2 linked regions of the Astyanax mexicanus genome follow. The protein of the gene in region 2 interacts with the protein of the main gene of each other region in a biochemical or structural test. Links are inferred from orthologs where the notes say so. Each region holds a gene or a part of one and is shown on either strand. Other genes may lie near its edges.

Evidence for each region. The genes of interacting proteins can lie anywhere in the genome.
Region 1: the proteins of nolc1 (region 2) and kbtbd8 form a complex in vitro, tested with the Homo sapiens proteins (2 studies listed by BioGRID). The link is inferred for Astyanax mexicanus from reciprocal best matches to the Homo sapiens genes NOLC1 and KBTBD8.

What each region holds. Positions count from the first base shown.
Region 1 is NC_064431.1:27,106,092-27,117,093, forward strand, and holds the start of kbtbd8 (kelch repeat and BTB domain-containing protein 8), read left to right. Parts: upstream 1-5,799; 5' UTR 5,800-5,847; coding exon 5,848-5,863; intron 5,864-9,680; coding exon 9,681-9,888; intron 9,889-11,002. UniProt on the Homo sapiens protein: Substrate-specific adapter of a BCR (BTB-CUL3-RBX1) E3 ubiquitin ligase complex that acts as a regulator of neural crest specification.
Region 2 is NC_064414.1:4,016,846-4,028,197, forward strand, and holds the start of nolc1 (nucleolar and coiled-body phosphoprotein 1), read right to left. Parts: upstream 4,468-11,352; 5' UTR 4,421-4,467; coding exon 4,310-4,420; intron 2,761-4,309; coding exon 2,705-2,760; intron 2,591-2,704; coding exon 2,439-2,590; intron 1,705-2,438; coding exon 1,589-1,704; intron 1,496-1,588; coding exon 1,366-1,495; intron 293-1,365; coding exon 183-292; intron 34-182; coding exon 1-33. UniProt on the Homo sapiens protein: Nucleolar protein that acts as a regulator of RNA polymerase I by connecting RNA polymerase I with enzymes responsible for ribosomal processing and modification.

The sequences.
Region 1 (11,002 bases), on a different chromosome or scaffold from region 2:
ATGATGAGAGAGTTTAATAAAAAGACAACGAGAGAGAAAAAGAAAAGGTGAAAAAGAGGGGGAATAGTTAGAAAGGGAGAAATAATTAGAAAGAGAAAAATAGAAAGATATATAGAGTGAGATAGAAGATAGAGAGTATAGATAGAGAGAATAGAGATAGAATGTGTGGACAAGAGAATGTATGAGAAAGAGAGAAGGAGAGAGAGAATGTATTAAATAAGAGAATGTATTACAAAGAGAGAGAAGGAAGTAAAAAGAGAATGTATTAGAAAGAGAGAGAAGACAGAGAGAAAAGAGTGAAAGCGGAATGTATAAGGAAGAGAAGAAAACAAAGAAAGGAGTGAAAAAGAGTATTTATGAGAAAGAGAGATGGAGAGAGAGAATGTATTGAATAAGAGACTGTATTACAAAGAGAGAAAACGAGAGAGAAAGGTGTGAAAAATAGAATTTATAAGAAAGAGAGAAGGAGAGAGAGAAATGAGTGAATAAGAGAATGCATTAGAAAGAAAGAGAAAAAGAAAAAAGGAGTGAAAAAGAGAATGTATCAGAAAAAGAGAGAAGGAGAGAGAGAAAAGAGTGAAAAGGAGAATTTATAAGAAAGAAAGAGAAGGAGAGAGAGAAAGGAGTGAATAGAAGAATTTATGAGAAAAAGAGGTGTAAAAAACAATGTATTAGAAAGAGAGAATTTATGAGAAAGAGGAAGGAGTGAGATAAAGGAGTCAAAAGACATGTGATGAAAAGAAAAAGATAAAATAGAAAGAGAGGGAAGAGCAGGACTGAAGGACAAAGATAGAATGTGACAATACAAAAAAAAGAAAGAAAAAAGAGCATAGAAAGAAAAAGAGATGGTGGGAGAAAGTGAAAGTGGGGAAATGAGAGGATGAGAGGAGAGAGAAGGACAGAAAATGTAAGGGAGTGAAACAAAGAAAGGATGACAGAAGGAGAACAGGTGAAACTTGTAAGGAAAGAACAGGCGAGGGATAAAAGCAGAAAGAGGGGGATGGAGAGAGAGAAAGATGGAGGAAAAAAGAAAGAGTGAGAGAAGCAGGTCTGAAGACTCATCGAGAGGCTAAATAGAGCAGATTTAGTAAAAACTGAATCCATCAGCCGGACATGCGGAACAAATGAGCTGCCCTCTCAGCAGGAGAGCCGGCCCCTTTATTTGTTCGCATTTTTAAGCTGAAGGGCGAAAGCGGAGCGGTCATCGCACCTAATGAAGTGTCCCCGAAGTTAGAAAAGAACAAAAAACACTTTCAGACCTTCTTAAAGCTCAGCGCGGCCTGCTGGGCTGAAGCTGACCCTGTAGCCGCTCATTCACCACGGGTAGAAACTCAAATGTTCAGATCAGGTCCTCATTTAAGTGTATGTTCTGTTGCTGTGGTTGAAACCCGTTTTCTTTTTGTCCAATGGTTTCCAATCCTGGTCCTAAGGAACTGTCTATATTTGGTGTTTACCTGCTGTATCTTTTCAAATCTTGGACAGGATTAGTTTCTCAGGGGGTCCTGGGGTAATTTTCTCTTTTATGTGGGGTCCTCTGTGACTTTATTCCCATCTGGAACGACCATGTACGTCTTTAATTTTCTCAGACGTCCTTTGAGAAAATTACAGGCTGAATTATCTACTGTTTTTCGCTAAACTCTGTGATCCTCCGGTAATTTTAGTCCCATCTGGATGCTCTGATTTCCGACACCTCACGTTTAAAAAATAACTATTTGTCCACTGCCACACACTGTAATTACACTTCGGGCATGCGTTTCCATGGAGATCCACATAAACACAACAGTGAGTGGAAATGGAGGAGCTACTGAACGAGATGTCATGACCAAGAAACTCAATATTCCTCCTGTTTTTTTTTTTTCAATTGCAGTCCGGATGCAAGAGTTTTATCACGGAGTGGAAGTGTGAAATAATTTTCACAGACGTCCCCCTGAGAAAATAATCCCATCCGGATAGGGCTTTAGAAAGAATAGCTGTAGAACTCTTCAGTACCTCAGCTGTTGTGGAACCAGGCTTAGAGCTCCAGAATTCTTCTTATAGTTCGATATGTTATATGTTTGGGAACCTTGGTGGAGTTTCCTTTTACAGATTATACCTGATCTTGAAAGATTTGTTCAGGATCTTCAGTGGAAACTCCAAAAGTCCAAAACTAGTTCTTCATAAGCTTCCAGAACAGAAGTGGGCACAGGTCTACAGTTCCAGAACTCTAGTTTTTCATTGGTTTCAAGATCTCTAGTTCTTCATAGGCTTCCAGAACCTTGGTGGAACCTTCCAGAACCTCCATACGCTTCAAAATCTGAGTGGAAACTTTAGTTCCTTTTAATATGCTGAAACATTGGTGGAAACTGAGTTGAAACAGATCAACATTTTGAGAACTCTAGAGCTTTAGAAGCCTCTACAATCGCACTGGAAACAGACCTAAAGATGGGTTTCCAATACTCTAGTTCTTCATAGGCTTCTAGAAGCTTGGTGGAACCTTCCAGAACACTCTACTTAAGTAGAGTTTCCACTAAAACCTGAAGACTAGACTTCTGCAACTGATTTCTGAACCTTTTAAGAAAAAGTACAATTCTGGTACTGTAGACCTGAAGTTCCAGAAGCTAACATAGTTATGAACTGTAAAGTTTTCACAAAGGTTCTGGAACTGTATGCGAGTTTCCATCAAGGTTTTGTAAGAACTGTGGTACACTGTCCATGAAATTCTAAAAGAACAGGCGTTGTCTTATTACAGCTCCTTCTCCAAATGTTCCTCCAGGTGGTCTTCAGAGAGAGTCCGTCAGGTAGCGTGATGGATTCAGGGACAGATGCTGAAGCACCTGCTCGCTTAGGCCTGTGACGGGGAGGGGCAGGTCCAGAAGCACTTTTTAAACATGAAGCTCTAAACTCCAGTTGGTATTTACTGCCACCTCCTGCCACGCGCCTATTTACCACCTAACGGGTGGCGGAGAAAGACTGAGCGCCGACACACACGTCCCCGGAGGACAATAATTACCTATTACCTCCCTCTCAGATAAAAACACACACACAAAGACACATTAAACTACTATTTTTGCCCCTTGCTTGCCAGGCACTGCGTTTCGTCCCAATCCCCATGCTTGTAGGCTTCGTCTACAATTCAATTGCATGCTCTCTCGCCCTCTTTCTCGCCATTCCCCTCTCATCTAATTGTGTAGAAGCAAGAGCCTGGAATAAAATGAACCACACTCATTCATAAGATTAATAAAATGTCAAATGAACTGTCCAGTTACTTTTGATTTCCAAACATTTGTTCTAAGGGCAACTGTCCATCTCATTCAGCTGCAACTCAGCTGTATATATCCACTATCACTAGTAATGCCACCACACAAGAAGGGTGAAGTTTAGCATATGCCTCCTCCTGCTGTGATGCAGCATTGCCAAGTAGCATCACAGCGCTAACGCTCGGAGGAAAACGCAGCTACTTGGTTCTAATACATCAGCTCACAGTTGTCTTGTGCTGATCGACATCACCCTTGGAATGATAAAAGAAAAAAGGGGCCATCTACCCACCCAGAGAGAGCAAAGCCAAATGTGCTCTCTCAGGGCTCTGGCAGCTGATGGCAAGCTGCATGGTCGGGATTCAAACCAGTAATTTCCCGATCAAAGTGACAGCGCGGTCTAAAGTTTTACGTAGCATCTTCGTTTACATTCCAGATATGAAACAAGTCTTAATTGGCTTATAGACTGCACCTTGAGTAAAAATTAATTATGTTATATCGATTTTTCACCACCATACTGATCAACACTTATTGAGTATTAAAAAGGGCTATTGAAATTCACAAACAGCTGATTTTTTTTTGGCTCTTTTTAGGTGCTAGAAATGAAATTAACACACAAAGTCTGAAGCTGTTTTCCATACGTACCCCACACAGCCCTGTAACAGACCCTGACAGATTATACCCACCACAGAGTTACACACAAAAAAACCTTTTACTGGGAGAAACAATGAGGCCCTGAATTTTAACAACTGTTGCCTTGAGTTATTTTCCTTTCGTGTGGCCACTTCTGCCAGCCGGTGCTACGCTAACCCAAACAGAGGCTGGCATTTTGTGATGGTGTGAATGGGTAAAAGCCAGCCTTTTCACTCACGTCCTAACAAAACACAATCCGGGGGAACAACGTCTGAAGCGCCTATATGAGGAAATTGCTTTCTATATATCTAAAGTGCAGGTTATAGGCAAGAAATATAAGGGGGGGAAAGAAAGAAAGTATTATGGCCTAGCGGAGGCCGCGGGAAGCCGTTTTTCCTTTCATTTCAGAGCAGCTAGGTCCAATTTCACAGCCTGTGCGAGAGAGGGAGTGGGAAAAAAGCAGGTGAAATCGATTGCGTAGATTGCAGCTGTGTTTTATTGGACTCCTTTTGTGTCATTTTACAGTGTCAGGCAGTGGTAGAATGGATTTGCTGTCGGCGCAGGGCTGATAAAACTGAGCCGAGGACAAGAGCCACAGTTTTAAATGGGAGCGCCCATCTGTTAAAGTGTATTGTGAAAGGGACGAGATTTCTACACGATTAAACAACAAAGCTGTCACACAAATTTCCATTTAGATACTTTTTGTGAGTGTGTTTATTATTATTTTTTTGTATAGTTAGGAACAACTACTATACACAAGTCCAACATTACTTAAACAAATTCTTCATTCATTTATTTCCTTTACAAGTTAACACAGCCCAATAGTGAATAGGGAATTTGTTTAAGAAATGCTATCTTGCTATCTTACACCCTGTTATTTTGCCTCAAAATAAAATCTAATTGTCTAATTGGATGGAGGACACCCAAATGTTTTTTTTTTCTCAAAACCTCTTATGAATAAGTAACTGCTATTTCATTTTTTTGAGATAGTAAGTCATTATTTTGAAAGAAAAAAAAACTTTTTTCCTAAAGCAAACACACTTGCTATCTCAAACTAATGACTTATAATCTCAAAATAATTAGATAGCATCTCAAAATAATGACTTACTATCCTAGAAATAATAAATTAGTATTTCAAAATCATGGCGTGCTATCTCAAAATAATGAATTAGTATCTCAAAATAATGACTTACTCTTCTAAAATTATGAATTAGTATCTCAAAATAATGACTTATTATCTTAAAATAATGAAAAAGTATCAAAAAATTATGACTAATTATCACAAAATAATGACATATCTCAAAATAATGACTTACCATCTCAAAGTAATCAATTAGTATCTTAAAATAATGAATTAGAATCTCAAAATACTGAATTAGTATTTAAAAATAATGATTACTATCTCAAAATAATGACAGTATTACAAAATAATAAATTAGTATCTAAAAATAATGACTTACTATCTCAAAATAAAGAATTAGTATCTCAAAATAATAAATTAATGTCTCAAAATAATGACTTACTATCTCAAAATAATGAATTAGTATCTCAAAATAATGAATTAGTGTCCCAAATGAATGAATTAGTATCTCAGAAAATAAATTAGTCTCAAATTAATGAATTAGTCTCAAATTAATGAATTAGTATCTCAGAAAATGAATTAGAATCTCAAAATAATGACTTACTATCTCAAAAGAATGAATTAGAATCTCAAAATAATGACCTGCTATCTCAAAATAATGAGATAGCTTCAATAACCTGATATATGCTGACTGCTGCAGGTTTAATTAAGCAGGACCTGCTGCTGTATGTAGCCTGCTCGTGACATCGCCTTGGCTGCACCCCGTCAAATTATGAATGCCGCTTAATCCGATTGGTTGCTGGGGGGCCTCCGGAGACGCTGATTGGCTGTGGCTTGTTTCCGGGGCTCAGATTCACCGGTGACGTTTTTTCTCTCAGCATTGAGACAGACGGGGCGAGAATGGCTGCCGGTGGAGGTTAGAGCTTTGCGATTGTTTTTCTCTTCACCATTTAAAGTTATTTAGGAAAGTTTGCGGGTTTGTTCGGGCGCGGTGGGTTAGTGAAGGCCCTCGCCTGTCGGTCGGGGCTGTTTGCGGTTGAGGGGGTTGTTTTTAAGGCGGTGAAGGAGGAGATTGTTTGTGTGTTAGCCCGGAAAGTGCGGACTGGTGGATAGCGTTAGCATTAGCGTTAGCATTAGCTTGGGCTCTTAGCGGCCGGTTAGCAAGTGTGTAAACATTAATGTGGGTGTCGATAAAAAGTCGTTATTTTAGGATATAAGTAGTATTTAGACGGAGGGCCTGCTTCTTAATATTTAATACGAATTTTATTTAATTTATTGACGTGTTTTAAGAGCGTATTTTGGTGGGTTTTGAAGTAAATGGTCTTCGTTAGCAAGCCTAGCTAATGCTAAAGTTCCTACAGGTTTTTGTATCTAGCGTTAACTATTCAAGTAACTTAGTTAGCTTAGTTGTCATTTAAATGCAGCAATTAGCTTAGCTGCCACCCCCTGGAGGGTTGTTTTTTGGAGCTGTTGGTCAGAAGCATTGAACACTGCCACAGTTTACTAACTATTTAGCTAACTTTTATTTTAGCAGTTTTCGACTGTTGAATGACTGCTGGGTTTGGAGTAGCTGTTGTTTGGAGCTCGGTCTGGTGTTCAGTTTTTGGTCAGGGGGTTCAATTCTCGGTCTGGGTGACTGCTGTTCTGTGTCACTAAGATTCCTTGGAAAAGACTCACAGCTAACAAACTTAGTATCTCAAAATAATGACTTACTATTTCAAAGTAATGAATTGGTATGTCAAGATAATGACTTACTATCTCAAAATAATGAGGGAGTATTTCAAATTAATTACTTACTATCTTAAAAGCTGGGGTTCAATTCCTGACTGTGGTTCAATTCCCAGTCTGGGTGACTCTGTGACTATGCTGTGTAGGGGTGGGCAATATTATATCGTATACAATATATCGTAACACAGAAATATCATGATATTAAAGATCCATATTGTGATAATAGGGCTGTTCTGTCTTAAAAGTAGTCTATTATTTACTGTGAAGCTTTAGGTGTATTTATTGTATAATTGTTTTAGTTGCAGTTTATATGCATGCACTAAATATTCTGCAATATTATTTGCTGCATTATATTATTTTATGCTATATTATTTATTTTGCCACATTATGATTATTCTGTTATACTATTATACTATATTCCTGAAATTAATTAATTATTTTTCTGTTTTCCTATATCGCCAAGTATATCGTTATTAGAGGTGTGCCAAAAAATCGATTCACATAAGAATCTTGATTCTCATTTACTACGATTCAGAATCGATTTAAAATGTCCCAAAATCGATTCTGAGGGGCGGGTTTTAGACTGATTTTGGGCTGGGTATTTTTGTTGGACCTGGCAACCCTGGGGATAGGGCTTGTCCCTTCAAACGGAGATCTTCCAGACACACACAGAGCGTAGGTGTTTGAGAATCACCGGTAAGATGGCAGAACAAGCACTATATTACCTTAGATTAACGTGTAGTTTCAATGTTTTATGGCAGAATGCTTCATAACAAGCATAAAAAAGATCGCTAGTAGTTAGTTTCAGTAACTGTTAGCTAGCTAACTAGCTAACTTTCCAGTTCCACCTTAAATAACGCTACAGGTGGCAGCGGGCTGCAGCATTTAAGGCGGAACGGAAAAATAACAATAAGCTAATCAGAGCTAATTTCAGCTCCTCATCACAGAGGAATTAAGGAATGGACAATATGAATTAATTTCTCCACCTCCTGCCCCCTTTCTGAAGAAATACAACGACCTTAAAGTTAACTAGTTAATCAGCAGCTGCTCCTGAACTTTAGCGCTTCACTGCTATCATCACATCAGCCCAGCAGCGTCACCTACACACCACCGCTAGTAGCCTGGTAATAAAGCAGTGTTATTTATTATTTATTTATTGTTCATTAACGTCATTGTGATATCCCAGTGATTTCTCTGTCACTGAGGACCCACATTCCTGCACATTTTATTGTTTTTGTAACACATTACTTGCTCCAGGACCAGTGTATATTATGGAGGGTTTTTTTTCAATAAGATTCATAAGCCAGAAGCAGAATTTTTTATAATTCAAATCGTTTTGAATCAAAAATCGATTTTGAATCGAATCGTGGCCCCCAAAATCGGAATCGAATCGAATCGTGAGATAGTAAACGATTCCCACCCCTAATCGTTATCTCAAAAATACCCTGAAATATCGTGATATTATTTTAGAGCCATATCGCCCACCCCTAATGCTGTGCTACACCAATAAGAGTCTTAAGGCAAGACTCATAGCTTACAAACATACTCAAACATCTCAAAATAGTGTATAACTATTTTAAAATAATGATTTAGTATCTCAAAATAATTAATTACTATCTCAAATTCTAGGGTTTAATTCCCGGTCTGGGGTTCAATTCCTGGTCTGGGGTTCAATTCCCGTATGTTGTGCTACACCAAAAAGAGTCCTTAGGCAAGACTCGTAGCTAATACTACATTGGCTCACTTCTATCATAGAAATAATGTTGTAAGTCGCTCTGGATAAGAGCGTCAGCTAAATGCCGTACATATAATTGTAAATTATAGTTCCCTTTTTGTCAGACTGGTTCATTTGCCTGTAAAGTGCCTTCTTAGTCATTTTAACTTATTTAGTCCTTGAGCGACACACATTGAAGGACAATGTGAATGTGTATTTGTTATTTAGGACCAGAATGTAGGTCTGCTTAGTCATTGAGATAAACCTACTGTATCTCATGCTTTTAAAGGACTCTTCCAACGCTTTAACTAAATGTTGTCTTGTGCCCACAATAAGAAAAAAAACATGAATGAGCTGCTCATTGAATTTGTCTAAATCCGTTTTGAGTTTGGCTTAATGTTGTCCATTTCTGACGTTTTAATTGACTCACTTGCTATGAAAGCGGCTACCAGCTGCTTGGTTTTAACGAGATAAACAGCTGAGCAATAAGAACACTACTGACTCAGTGTTCAGTGGTCTATTTTTGCCACTAAACCTCTCAGAAATATCCACAATTCACAATATATCTCAAACACAGAATTATCTGGGATTTACTTGCTACACCACTCATTTAACGGAATGTCATGAATTAGTCTGACACTGTTCAAACGGCCATGAACACTGAGGGAAATAATTGTACATTTTACTTTAGATTTAGATTTAGAAAGTGACCCAAATTTGAAATGCTTCGGTAGTATACAGTTAAAGCAAAAGTTCCTAACAAATGAGTACAACAAATTGCATTTTTTTTCTTGGTTAATGTCCATCACTTTGTTCTACAGGTGTGCAGCCAAGTAATGGAAAGGCTTGAAACAACCAAGCTGATGGCAAATAGCTGATGGTCTTGATAACCCAGGCTAGTGGTTCCTGTGTGTAGTCTGTTTGTCAGTCATGTTTGGCCTATTTGAGCATGTTGAATTGACATGGGTGGTCTTATATGATGATTAAAATAGAGAAGCATGGACTGTTGATCACAGGCTTGGATCAGAACTCAGTTCTGCTGATCTGCCACAGCTGGGCCTTGAGGCAAGGCCATATTCTGCTGTGCAATAGGTTGTAGAAGGCAATGGTGTTCATATACTATATATATATATATATACATATATATGGTTGGAGATTTTGTAATCCCTTTTTTGAAACATGATTGTCTAATTTTGACCTAAATTTCTTGTATTTTTGGTCAGTTCTGGGGCTTGTCTTGCAGGTCTAAAATTTCTAAAACACACTTTTCTATTCCCTGTTCCCATCGCAGATGTTGGAAAGCTGTTACAAGTACAGAACGGGACTCCTGCAAGCACAAGCTACAACGGAGTAGACGCCCTGCATGCCTGCACCATCCTCCAGCAGCTCAAAGCCCTGTACGACGAAGCGCAGCTGACAGACATCGTCGTGGAGGTGGATCATGGCAAGACCTTCTCCTGTCACAGAAATGTGCTTGCTGCCATCAGCCCTTATTTCAGGTAGAATGTACAGTAAGAGAAAGCACAGCCACTGTACATAATCAAACATACTTTTTAAAAATATTATTATTCATGTTGCCTGTGCAAGTGTTTGGGCACCTTAGATTCGTTACTGAATTTTTTCACTATAAGGCACACTTAAAACTTTTAATTTTCCCAAAAATGTCAGTGCATCTTATAATCTGGTGTGCCTTATGTATGATTTTTACCAGTCTCAGGTTGTGAGGAGCGCTACAGCCACTCCGCTGAAATGTCTCGAGCAGTATTAGCATTAGCCGTTCAGAGTTGAGTATTCTCGGCCTGTAGCCTGCTGCTGACCCTGGCTAGCACTTCTGGAGCAGAATTAGCTTTACCCGCTAACGGTGCCTGCGGTAAGCCGCTAATGCTCTAGCTTTAGTGGAAATCTGGAAATCTAAGCTTACTGTACATAAACAGAAGTGCTTTACTAACCAAAATAAACAGTTTTCAGGAAAGAAATCTGTGTGGATTAACTTTTAGCACTCATTTGACTTGTTTGACTCTTAAGAATTACAGCTTTGTTTACTTAACTTAGTTTGTTTAACTTACTTAGCTTAGTTTTACAGGTTTACAGGCCTGCTAAATTAGAAGGAAAATATGGCTACAGCCCTGTTTCATACCAATGTCTCATAAAATACGCCTTATCCTGTGTGCTTTATAGTGCAAAAAATATGGTATTTGATCATTTCCTTGAATCATTTATATAGCAGATACAAGCTGCACGTCTTATGACTCTTTCGGTTGGATTTTCACCACTCTTACTTGCAAAAGACCTCTTGTTCTCAGATGTTCTTGGGGTTTCTCACATGCGCCGCTTGTGTGAGGTCTGTGCATAAATTTCATATGATATCTAGGCCAGAAACCTTTAAGTGCAACCCAGAAGCTTCAGTTTGGGTCTTCTTAGGTAGTCCATGAACGACATCTTGCTTGGTGTTTGGTGGAATTTGGTGGAATCAGTTTATTCTTCTAGCTGTAAAGGTCATGAAGCTACTAGCATTCTAGCTGTTCTTTTTTTGTTAGCTACAGTTTCTCTTCCAAAACCTTTTCATGTCTCCTCCACAATGGTTGTTTATGCAAGCAATGCTAAAAGCAGTGC
Region 2 (11,352 bases):
TTTCACCGGGGCAGCTGGAGCTTTTACCACTGGCTGCATTGTGCACATCAAAAAAAATATATATTTATATAAAATGTAAGACTAAATAGCATTTTATACTCTCACCCTCACACAAACAATTCTGCTACTGTGGGGTTTAAACATTAGTGTGTGGAAACGTTCATCAGTGGAACAGTGAGCACCTTAGCTGCGGGTTCGTCCTCAGAGTCACTGGAGCTCTCCTCACTGCTGCTGCTCTCCTGCTTCTTCTGAGCTGCGGCTTTAGCAGGAGCCACAGCTGCAGGCTTGGCCACTGAAAAGCACAAGTCATTCTTTCAATTAAGTTATTAGTCACTGTTTAACTTTAAAAACAGAATTTTACACAAAAAAAAAAAAACTTTAAAATCTTTAAAGCTTCAAGAACATTTTAAAACAAATACAAAATAGTCTGCTTTCAAACAGAAAAAAGAACGCCTTATTTATTAATGCTTTAAAATAAATTTTGTGTATCATGTGTACGATAGAGCTTAGATTCTCTGCCCAAAACCCGACCCGACCAGAGACCCAGCCCGGCCCAAGTTCGGGATTTCCCACCACTTTCCACCGGCTCAAAAAAGCAATTTGACACAGGTCTGTTTTTTAATGCTATTTTTATTTTATATTAAGCTATGGCATGATATCCCAATAAAGCAAATTAACAAATCAAACTGTGCACACTGCAGTGCAGTACGTAGCCTTGTTTTTTTATGTTTTTGCACTTAAACTATAAGTTCAATATAAAAAGCTATAGAAATTATTTTCTATTCTTAAACCATGTTAAACTATATTAGACTAGAGGAAAGTCCTTCAGACATCATTCTTGTAGCCTGATTTACTGATGTTTAGGCCTTTGGATCATTGTTCGCTTTGTTTCGGAGATCTGTTCTTAATAAACATTATTCTTAGATATGCGTCTATGCTTCTTCAGTGTTGCAATGTTAATTAACATCATTCCAAACAGATTTCGCTCATTCAAACAGCCCCAAAAAAATGATTTATTTATTTTATTTTTTTTAGCAGTTTTAAACGCTCTATAACGTGGGTTTAAATCAGGCTCACGCTCATAATGACAGTGTATAGGTCGGTTCAGGTTGGGCTCTGGCAGGACATGCACAGGCTCGGGTCGGATCAGGTCAGACTCGGCTGGATATTTTGGGCCCGATCTAAGCTCTAGTGTACGACACACCCGTAATACTAAGCATATAAATTTTATTTTGCTACAATTAGTGCAAGAAAGGATTCCCTTTACTGGTGGAGTTTTGCTGCTTCTCAGCCTGGAACCCACATGTCAGTCAGTCTTACTGATACCCTGCAGTGTTATTCAGCATACTGACAGCATTCACTCACCTGCTGCTTTAGATTTAGGAGGCTCGTCCTCAGAATCGGACTCCTCACTGCTGGAGCTGGTGTCCTTCTTCCTGGCTGCCGCCGCCACAGCAGCAGGAGACGCCACTGCAGCTTTCACTGCTGCCACCTTCTAAAAACACCAAATGATAAAACATATGATACACATAATAAAAAAAGCCACACATACTGTTACACAATAAATTTTCAAAAAAACAGGGCATACCTTTACAGGAGGTTTAGTCTGAGCTTCATCTTCAGAGTCGCTGGAGTCTTCACTGCTGCTCGACTCTGCTGCAGCTGCGGGCTTCTTCGCTGCAGCTGCGGGCTTCTTCGCTGCAGCTGTGCATGCATGCATCAGACAATTGAACAGGAAGGTAAACATATAATGCACATCATATGTAATCAATTAAAAAAAAAAGGAATTTATTGGTCTTCCTAATTTTGTTTCTGATTGGCTGCAGCTTTTTCTGAGCCCATGTCACGCGGGTTTGACAGCACACTAATCAAAAAACATGAATCAAATCAAATGTGTGTGCTGTATGTATGACACCTGACCCTATATTAATTTAAGGAAAAAGTAAGTCTTTTTTATTTTTTCTTTGTATTGGTCAGTTTTAGCACATTTTAACTAATTTTTTCGTTGTATTAATCTTATCTTCTTTTGATCTTAATTTTGTATCACTTAAACCAAGCTTTATAATAAATTATTATTAATTTATTTTTATTCTAACTATTTTTATTTTATTTTTTTATCTATTTTTATATTTTACATTACATTACATTATATTTGGCAGACGCTTTTGTCCAAAGCGACTTACAATAGTCAAGTCCAAAAGTAATAGAAGTTAAAGGTAAAACATCTTTAGATAGGGCTTAAAGGTGGTCGAAGGGAAATAATGGGATAGAGAAGATTTACTGTAATTTTAAATAATTAAATGTAGCTATTATTTTCTTTGTCATGTCAATCCCCATTTCTGTAGATGCTCAGCTACAATGAAAATGAGGGTTGCTCTCAATGTACTTCTGAATCAAAATAAAGATTGATTGATTGATTGATTACAGCAATAGGTTACCTGGAGGAGTTTTCTTTGCAGCTGGGGCTTCCTCCTCATCACTGCTCGACTCTTCACTACTGGAGCTCTCCCTTTTGGTCTTCTTCGCAGACGGCCCGTTGACTGCAGCAGGTCCATTAGTAACGGCCTTACGCTTTTTGGACTCTCCAGATCTAAACGTACACACACAGACGTGTGTTACAATTACGAACCTCCAACATCGCAAAATTAAAAGTGCTTTGCCCACAAAGTAACTTTAACAGGGTTAGTAATAAACATTCACTTACTTGACCCAGAACTGGAAGACGTCAAGGAGTCCTTCTTCATTTTCGTCTTGAGGTTTCTGAATTGAGACAATCTTTATTACTTATGTATAATTACACCAAACTACTACCTTACTAATAGCTCCAAATTCACATGAATTACCTTTTGTACATATTGCCTGTTACAATAATTAACAATAACAATTTCCCAGGAATTACAGTGCTTAACTAGCAGTCATTTTCAACACTGCTGTAAAGATAACATAATAGCATAAAATACACATACCTTTAAAAGAGCAATAAGCTTTTAATAATTAAGAATATCCAGGCAATTCAATTGAAATACCTTTCAAATATTCTAAATAACTAAAATACATTTGTAAACAGTCAACATGCTTGCTCATCCACATTTACTATGTAATTCCATATGTGTCCCTTAATTGATTTCTAGTCTTTAATATTCATCTACAAATGTAGAAAATCATAAATAAATAAAAAACACTGAATGAGAAGGTGTGTCAAAACTATCCACTGGTGCTGTTGTACATCATTTATCAAGTGGTTATTATTACAGTAAGTAATCAGTGGATGTAACGGACTAATGGTATGAAGGTACAGATAGAATGTCAGAAAACTAAGCTAACAATCCCGACAGTAAGTGTGTATGTGCTTACAGAAAAAAAAACATGTATTTAATTTGTTGTAATTATCCTCCTCTTCCTGTATTAAATGTAGTTATGATCCAGAACCTGCTTTCCTCTCAGCTATTAAAATGACTTTTAAATGAACCGGTTCCAGCAGGATCAGTCTGAACAAACAAGTTCTCAATCTACTAGTTAAGATCATGGAAACAGTGGCTAAAAAAAACAGTGGGTGAACTGGTGTGTGTGATGACTGGAGGAGAAAACAGTGGGTGAACTGGTGTGTTTGATGACTGGAGGAGAAACGTGGACTTTACCACGTGCTCACAGATCTCTAGCTAGTTTATCTTCTCTACATAAAACTGTAATTCTTACTTTAATTGCACTAAATTCAGTCTGAATTTACTCTAAATAGTACAGCCTGCTTTTTCATGTTTAAACAAAATAAAGTTTAAAAATAAGTATTTAGATACATAGTTTTAACCCTGTATGGCACAGTGATTCCCTCAGCAAAGAACACTAGTTTTTGGTTAGGTTATTACACCGTACTTTCAGTAGTATGTATTTTAATATCTAGTTATAATATGACGGGATATAAAATAAGTGGTAATAAATAAGTTGAGTATTATTATTACAGTAACGCTGCTCTGCCCGGTTCTTCAGTAACGTTACCGCTGTGAGTCCTGATCAGGATTAGCACAGATATAACGTTACTTATACCGGTTATAATCGGTCACCCTTTGGTTCTGTGTTCGGAGCACCGCGAGCAGTAACCCGGGCAGTAGTTACCGTAGGCAGTAACCAGGGCAGTACCGCGGACAGTAACCTGCGCAGTAAGTAACTTTGGCTTGTAACCCGTGCAATAATCGGCTCGCGCTGCCCCTCGCGCGCCGTACTGAACACGTGTTTACAGCGCGCGCGCAGCCGGACTCCCCGTCTCGCAGAAACGTACCGCGCGCCACAACGGGACCGGTTACCGGGCACTCACCACTTTAGTCTTCTTCATAAACTCCTGGGCCGCCTTGCTGAACTTGTTCTGGAGCAGAAAAGAGTAAACATACGGGAATAGATCACTCGGAACCACGCCGACCTCCGCCATCTTCTCTATACCACACCGACTGCGCGCACAGGAAATGACGAAGAAACACGGCATCCACACGTTTTACGCCTAAACGAAGGCACGTCCGAAACAGACGCCGCCTTTTGAAGCTGGCATGTCAGCCGGCCGCCATATTGGAGGAGTCTCCCATGCGCCCTAGAGCATGTATACCATATAAACATAATACAGGTTATTTCAGCATAAACGTATATAACGTATTCTTAATGTGTAACAGCTTCCTATAGCATAGCTACATCTCTGCTCTGCTGTTTAAAACAAACCAAACCCTGTAAAAATCGGGTACACTTTGATAGAGTTGTGATTATTATAGGTGTTTTAAATACCTTCCTCCGTACTAATAAATGAACTAGGGGCGAGTGGTTGACTCCTCCAATATGGCGGCCGGCTGATACGCCAGGAGGCCGGCTATGCGGCGTTTATGTATGCATGTCTATTTTCAGTATACATGTCTATGACTAGTGCTCTACTCACTGCACAATACACACCTAGTGCCCCACACACTACACACCTAGTGCCCTACACAGTGCACACTACACACCTAGTGCCCTACACAATGAGCACTACATCTCTGGTGCCCGACACGCTGCATACTACACACCTAGTGCCCTACACAGTGCACACTACACACCTAGTGCCCTACACAATGAGCACTACACCTCTGGTGCCCGACACGCTGCACACTACACATCTAGTGCCCTACATGCTGCACACTACACACGGCACACTACACACCTGGTGCCCTAAACGAAAGGTGTCCAAAGTATTCAAAGTAACACAAGTGCACTAGGCTAACGAGCCAAGCTTTTATCATCACAGAGAACCTGCTCCAGCCCTGCCTAGACCAGCTGCTGTGTCTGTTAGCATTACGACTCTAACCCTGTAGGCTGTGGCTCATCTGCACTAAATTATCTGTACGTGGCTGTTCAGTCTGTTAGCATTGGGGCTCCCACCTGGCTAGAGATTTAATGTTAACATTACAGGAAATTGCTTCAATCTCGCCTGGTTTATAGCATCACGGCTAACCTGGTCCACCACTGTCAAACCCAGCTTTTGGCATTGTGGTTAACCTGGTCTAACTCGGCCAGGGCCAGCTGTTAGCATCATGACTAACCTGCTCCAACCTTGCTGAGCCAAGCTGCTGTGTTTGTTAGCAATATAACATGACTGTAATTACCTCAGGAATATTGGACTGTATAACAGATTATGCTTTACAAAGAATGGAAAACAAATGTTTTTAAGAGTAACAAGATCAAGAGGAGAGAGAGAAATTGGAGGGGTAAATGAAGGGAAATGCACTAATGCCCTCTCGCGCTGATATAAAATCTAATACGCTGTTATTCCTGTGCTTGGCTTCAGCTGGGGGTTTGTGTGTACGGCCTGCACACTAATGCACCTTCCTGCAGCTGGGTAAATATTGATGCTGGTTAAGTACCCAGCATGGAGGCACGCAGTGCGGTGGAGCTCACCTGGGGGGGAACACCTGGAACGTGTCCAGTCCCCGTGTGGCACCATCACCACCGAACATGCGCTGATCTACAGCTGAGGTGGAGACCATTAATCTGATGACCACACTCACACTGCCTGGCAGCATAGTGAATGTAGGCAAGCTGAATATAGAAAACTATTATTAATAAACAGAGATAAAAATAGATTTTACATAGACAGACTGAGATCAAGGGTTAAAGTATATGAACTGTGGAATACTGAAAGTGTGGGATCTTTTAATTTTTCTACTGGAATATTGGACATATAAAAGTAAGACTGGGATGTTATTAAAATATTCTTGAAATTCAGACAAAAAGGAAGATTATTTCTTTATTTCATTCTGTTTATACACAGAAATCTATAAATTTTGGATTTTTTTTTTTTTGGGAGAGAGAACAGATTTTGTACATGATTTTGCAGTGTCTACATACTTAACAACACGATTCACGCCCTTAAAAGTTAAGAACATGTGACAGGACAATGTGATTGAGGTAATTACAGTGATTGTTGCACTTGATGAGATAAGGTAATTACAGTGCTAACTGTACTTGTCTGTAGTGGCAGTTTGTGGCTTTACTGTCTTTTGTGAACTCAAATGATGTATATTTGCACACATTAGCTATTTGTGTAGATTCCCTGTAGCCTGGCAAATAATACATGCAATTAGTAAGTTAATTACATATGATTATATATATATATATATATATATATATATATATATATATATATATATATATATATATATATATATATAGACAATGTAGGTGCAGGACAACTCAAATAAACCATGGGAATATTAGTGAAATGTTTTTGGTGCTTAACATATAAAAAAAATCTTCAACAAAAAAGTTTAAAAAGCCTTTTTTTTCAATGAAGAACTATTTCTCAAATAGTTTTAAGTTCATTTACCGGACCACATAGTGTACATTGCTTTTTAAAGAGCCCATTAATCTCGTTTTGTATAAAAACAAAAAAAAATTGCTGTTATGAAAATATCCACACTGCCTTTCTGGAAGCTCCTGATGCCAAAAGTGTTCAAGGTTGAATGGCTCCATGACTTACAGTACAAAGTAGACTGTTCTCCTGCTCGGCCAGTCCCACATGCTGGTGTTTAGAGGACCAATCTGATGCTCACACGCACCGACCCACCTGGGAAGTGAAAAAGCCTGCGTCTGGCACCCCGAGCAGGCAGCGTGCTGTTGCTCTTGGAAAGAGTGGGGCAGGTATAATTTCTCCATGACTATAACACTGTGAGTCTGTGGGTCCCCAAGAGCCATCCAGCTACTTTATCTGCACTGGATCTCTAGGATAGCTTTACCCAGAATAACGCTATTCAGGACAAATGTTGGCAGGGAAAGACTGGCAACAGAATCAATCCAACCCCTGGGAAGCCAGCTGATGCTGTTAACTCACACGCGTCCAGAACAAATGCTCTGGTGTCAACAAGTGCAAACGCCAACGATGCATGATCGCAGCAGTTAGTCAGTCGTTTAGAAGCATCCAAACCATGCAGCTTTTAATTCTATATCACAGGACAGTTAATGCCTTGTTTGTGGACAGATCTGACAAACTTAAACAGGTTTAAATTCATTTTTATACTCTCCTTTATACAAAGTATACAAGTATTCAGCATCACTTATTCATATTCAGTATTAGTTTATATATATATATATATGGATATATATATATATATATATATATATATATATATATATATATATATATATATATATATATATATATATCCATGCAAAAATGGTAACTTTACAAGAGAAGAAAATATCCTTCAATTATTAATCCATTAATTTATACACACGCTGACTTTAGCTTCAAGATTTCTTGTTGGCACAAGTGTCTGTGGTTATCTTGAAAACTTAAATGTTTAAGTTTAAGTTGATCTTAAAACTCAATTGTGGACTAAGTTGCCTTAAAGTTTTGTGTTTTCTTAACTTTTACATTGTTACAGTGTATTTATTTAGTGCACAAATATAAACGTGAATGTTGAGGCCCTACTTTGCTGTGCTATTGTTTATATATTTTTTTTAAATCTAATGAATGAACTATAGACACTAGAGGGAGCCACTTTCACAGCCTGGGGATCACAATGGCTATCAGACACTTCAGAGAACTAGAGAGGCCTGCTCATCACTGGTCCTGGAGATCTACCATCTCACTCACCTGCTCCAGGTAATTCAAGGCCTTCAGAAACATGACCTGTTCTGTTCACTGTCGCTGTGCAAGTCCCTCTGTTGATGACGTATGATGTGACATTTTGATGGTTCCACTAAAACTGTTGTAAATGCAGACTGGTTCGCTAAAAAAAACAAGAACCAAAGTTCTTTTGGTGGAAAAGCGCTTAATTTGGTTTGTATCCAATTTGTGTTATATGTGCTTTCTGGCTGTACAGACTATCAAAACTCAAAAATCTCATTACAATCGTGCTTGAGTTGGCACTCATTTCCATCACCCTGATTTGATGAGGTCATAGCACCAAAGTTGAGCACCAAAGGTCAGCGACCCGCACCGACCTTGATACCACAGCAACCAATGCAGATATGTTTGTGATGTCCAGACACAAAAAAAATCCAATCTGATCACTTGCAACAAAAACGGTGCAGCCAGTTATCTCAACAGATCTGATTAAAGAAAGAAATACAGTTTGCCTTAAATATAAAATCTCCACACAGATATGAAAAATCATATTGTCTATTTCTTGGCCAAATATTACACACCTAGCCTGAGTTGCCCAGCACCGGTTTGAATCTAGGCCTAAGTGCTGCATGTGCCAACACCCTGGTTACAGAGTATAATATAGCAATTGGGTAAAGCTGCATGCACCAACACCATGGTTGCTGAATATGATACGAGAAACCTCTGTATGCTATAAGTATAAGTATAAACCACATTTGGGTAGCACTTTATGATAAGGAACACAAATTAGGCGCTTATTAATGTCTTATTATTTGCTTAATAATGCCTTAATTAGACATTTGTAAATTATTTATTCACTACTTATTAGGCTTTATTCTGTGTAAGTGTTATTGGTGCTTAATTAGGATATTTGATTGATTGATTAATTGATTGATATTTATTCAGTAATTTTTAGTGTCTAATTAGTGATGAACAGAACCTCACTTTAGGATATGGTGCACATCTTGGTCTATTAATGACTTATTAACCCCTTATTAACTCTTAATAAACTCCAGCACAGCCATAACCTTACCAAACTCACATACTGTAGATCAAACTGCTGCCAATTATAAGAACACTAATAACATGTATAATTAGCTAATAGTCAACGCTTAATAATCTTAATAAAACAGGGCGCTAACATAACTGTTTATTGTGCTCTATAAGAACTAATACAGTCATTATTAATCATTTCCACATAATATACCCCTAATTAAGCACCAATTACACTGAATACACAGAATAAAGCCTAAAAAAGTAGTGAATAAATCATTTACAAATGTCTAATTAAGGCTTTATTAAGCAAATAATAAGACATTAATAAGCGCCTAATTTGTGTTCCTTAAAATAAAGTGTTACCCACATTTGGTCCAATTTCACATGACCGTTACCGAGACTCTATGGTCATATGACCGATGCTGCCATACGATCTCCATTAGCTGGAATGAATACCCCTGATCTAGAAGAAAAAATGTGGTTAGTAGTTATTTATCATTTAATTTTCTTTTAATTGCATTTGATCCATTTTTCTACTGTTCTGATGTCGAAAGCTTTACAAAATTACATGTTCCAATGTCCGAGCGCATAACTCTGTGTGTGTCTGACTGTAAGTGAAATAGCAGGACCCCTCTGAGGCCGTAAGCTCAGTCAGATCCATAGAGCTCTTTGAAGTTGTGGCTGCTCCCTCCATCCATCTCCCTCTCCCTCTTTCTTTTATTCGTTTCCAGGCGGCGCTGAGGCCGAGCTCATTAAAAACTCCAGCCCACGCTCCGTGTCATCATGTTACCGCAACCGCACTAATCTACACATGGATGCATGATGGCATCACCTCAGTCTGTCATCGAGGTAACTCTATAGTGACTGACTGTACAACACACACACACATATATACACACAGTCTCCGAGTTCAGACTGTAAATTTGTGGCCTAGTATTTCAGTTTAAAGGTCCCTACTCAGCATATTTCTCCTGCGTTTTGATTCCCCCCCTGAAGTCTACTTCTAACTTTGTGGGGTTTTAAGTTCCAAAAACTCTCATAATTCATTTTTACATGACCATTTCCAAACCTCTCCTTTTCCCTCAGGATAATACACAGATTCTGTTGCTGTGTGGAGATGTGTGGTCAGATGTGTGGATCCTTTAGGAGGTAGCAGTGATGCTGTTTCTTCCCAACAGTCAGGGACGCTACTGTATTCACAATCACTTTAAATCAGATCAGTTTGTATTTGCTATTTATTTGAATGTCAGTGGGGCTGCAGCTATCGATTATTTTAGTAATCGAGTACTCTACTAAAAAAAAAATCAATTTGATTAATCGAGTCATCAGATAAAACATATTTGCTTGCCCAAAAAGCAATCAAAAATACACAAGAAAAAAAAAAGAAATTTCACTTAATAATAAAAGACCAATTCACAACAAACATTTCCAAATTGCAAACACAAATAGATATAAATACAACGCAAAATAGACAAATACCACAAGTAATAAATTAAATAATTTATAATTTCCTTCACCTAAAAACCTCCGCCTCCTGCACCTGCTTCCTGCGCGTAGGTGACGTAACACTAAGCACGCTATTTCACATTAAAAGTCCGTGCTAAATTCCGTGCTCTGCATTTTAAAATTAATTAAACAATTCCTCAAGGCACAGAAAATTAATTGATCAATTTTTTTATCGAGTAACTTGAATTTTACTCGAGTAATCGTTTCACCCTTAAATGTCAGTTAGTAAATTTGATCATGCATATACAGTAGTCTGTTTATTTAGCTGTGCTCACATTACCAGGCTGAAATGGCTGAAATGACTTAACCCTAGAAAGCTAACACTTTGTGATTTTAACCCACATAATTATTTTTTAAGTGATTTTCATTGTGTTGCTGCTGTTGGGTTGAGTTGCATGGGACTTCGTTTAGGTATCTTCAGGGGGATGATCGTTGGTGTCATTAATGTTATGGTTAATTCAAGAGGCATGCGTTCGAGTGGTTTTCATTTGACGTTAGTGATGGAGACTAACATATTTTATGGGTGTTTTTTTATATTTATATTTACCTGATGTATGTTGGTGTTTGTGTGTTTAAATCAGGCGCTCACATGTCTCAGGAATGGGTGGACCAAAGACCAAGTTCCCTTGCAGCATTATTTTATTTTTTTTAATGATTACCTGATTTTCCAAAAAAAAAAATCAGCTTTTTTATAGGATCATCCATGGTATCTTTATTCTGTTTTATGTAATGGT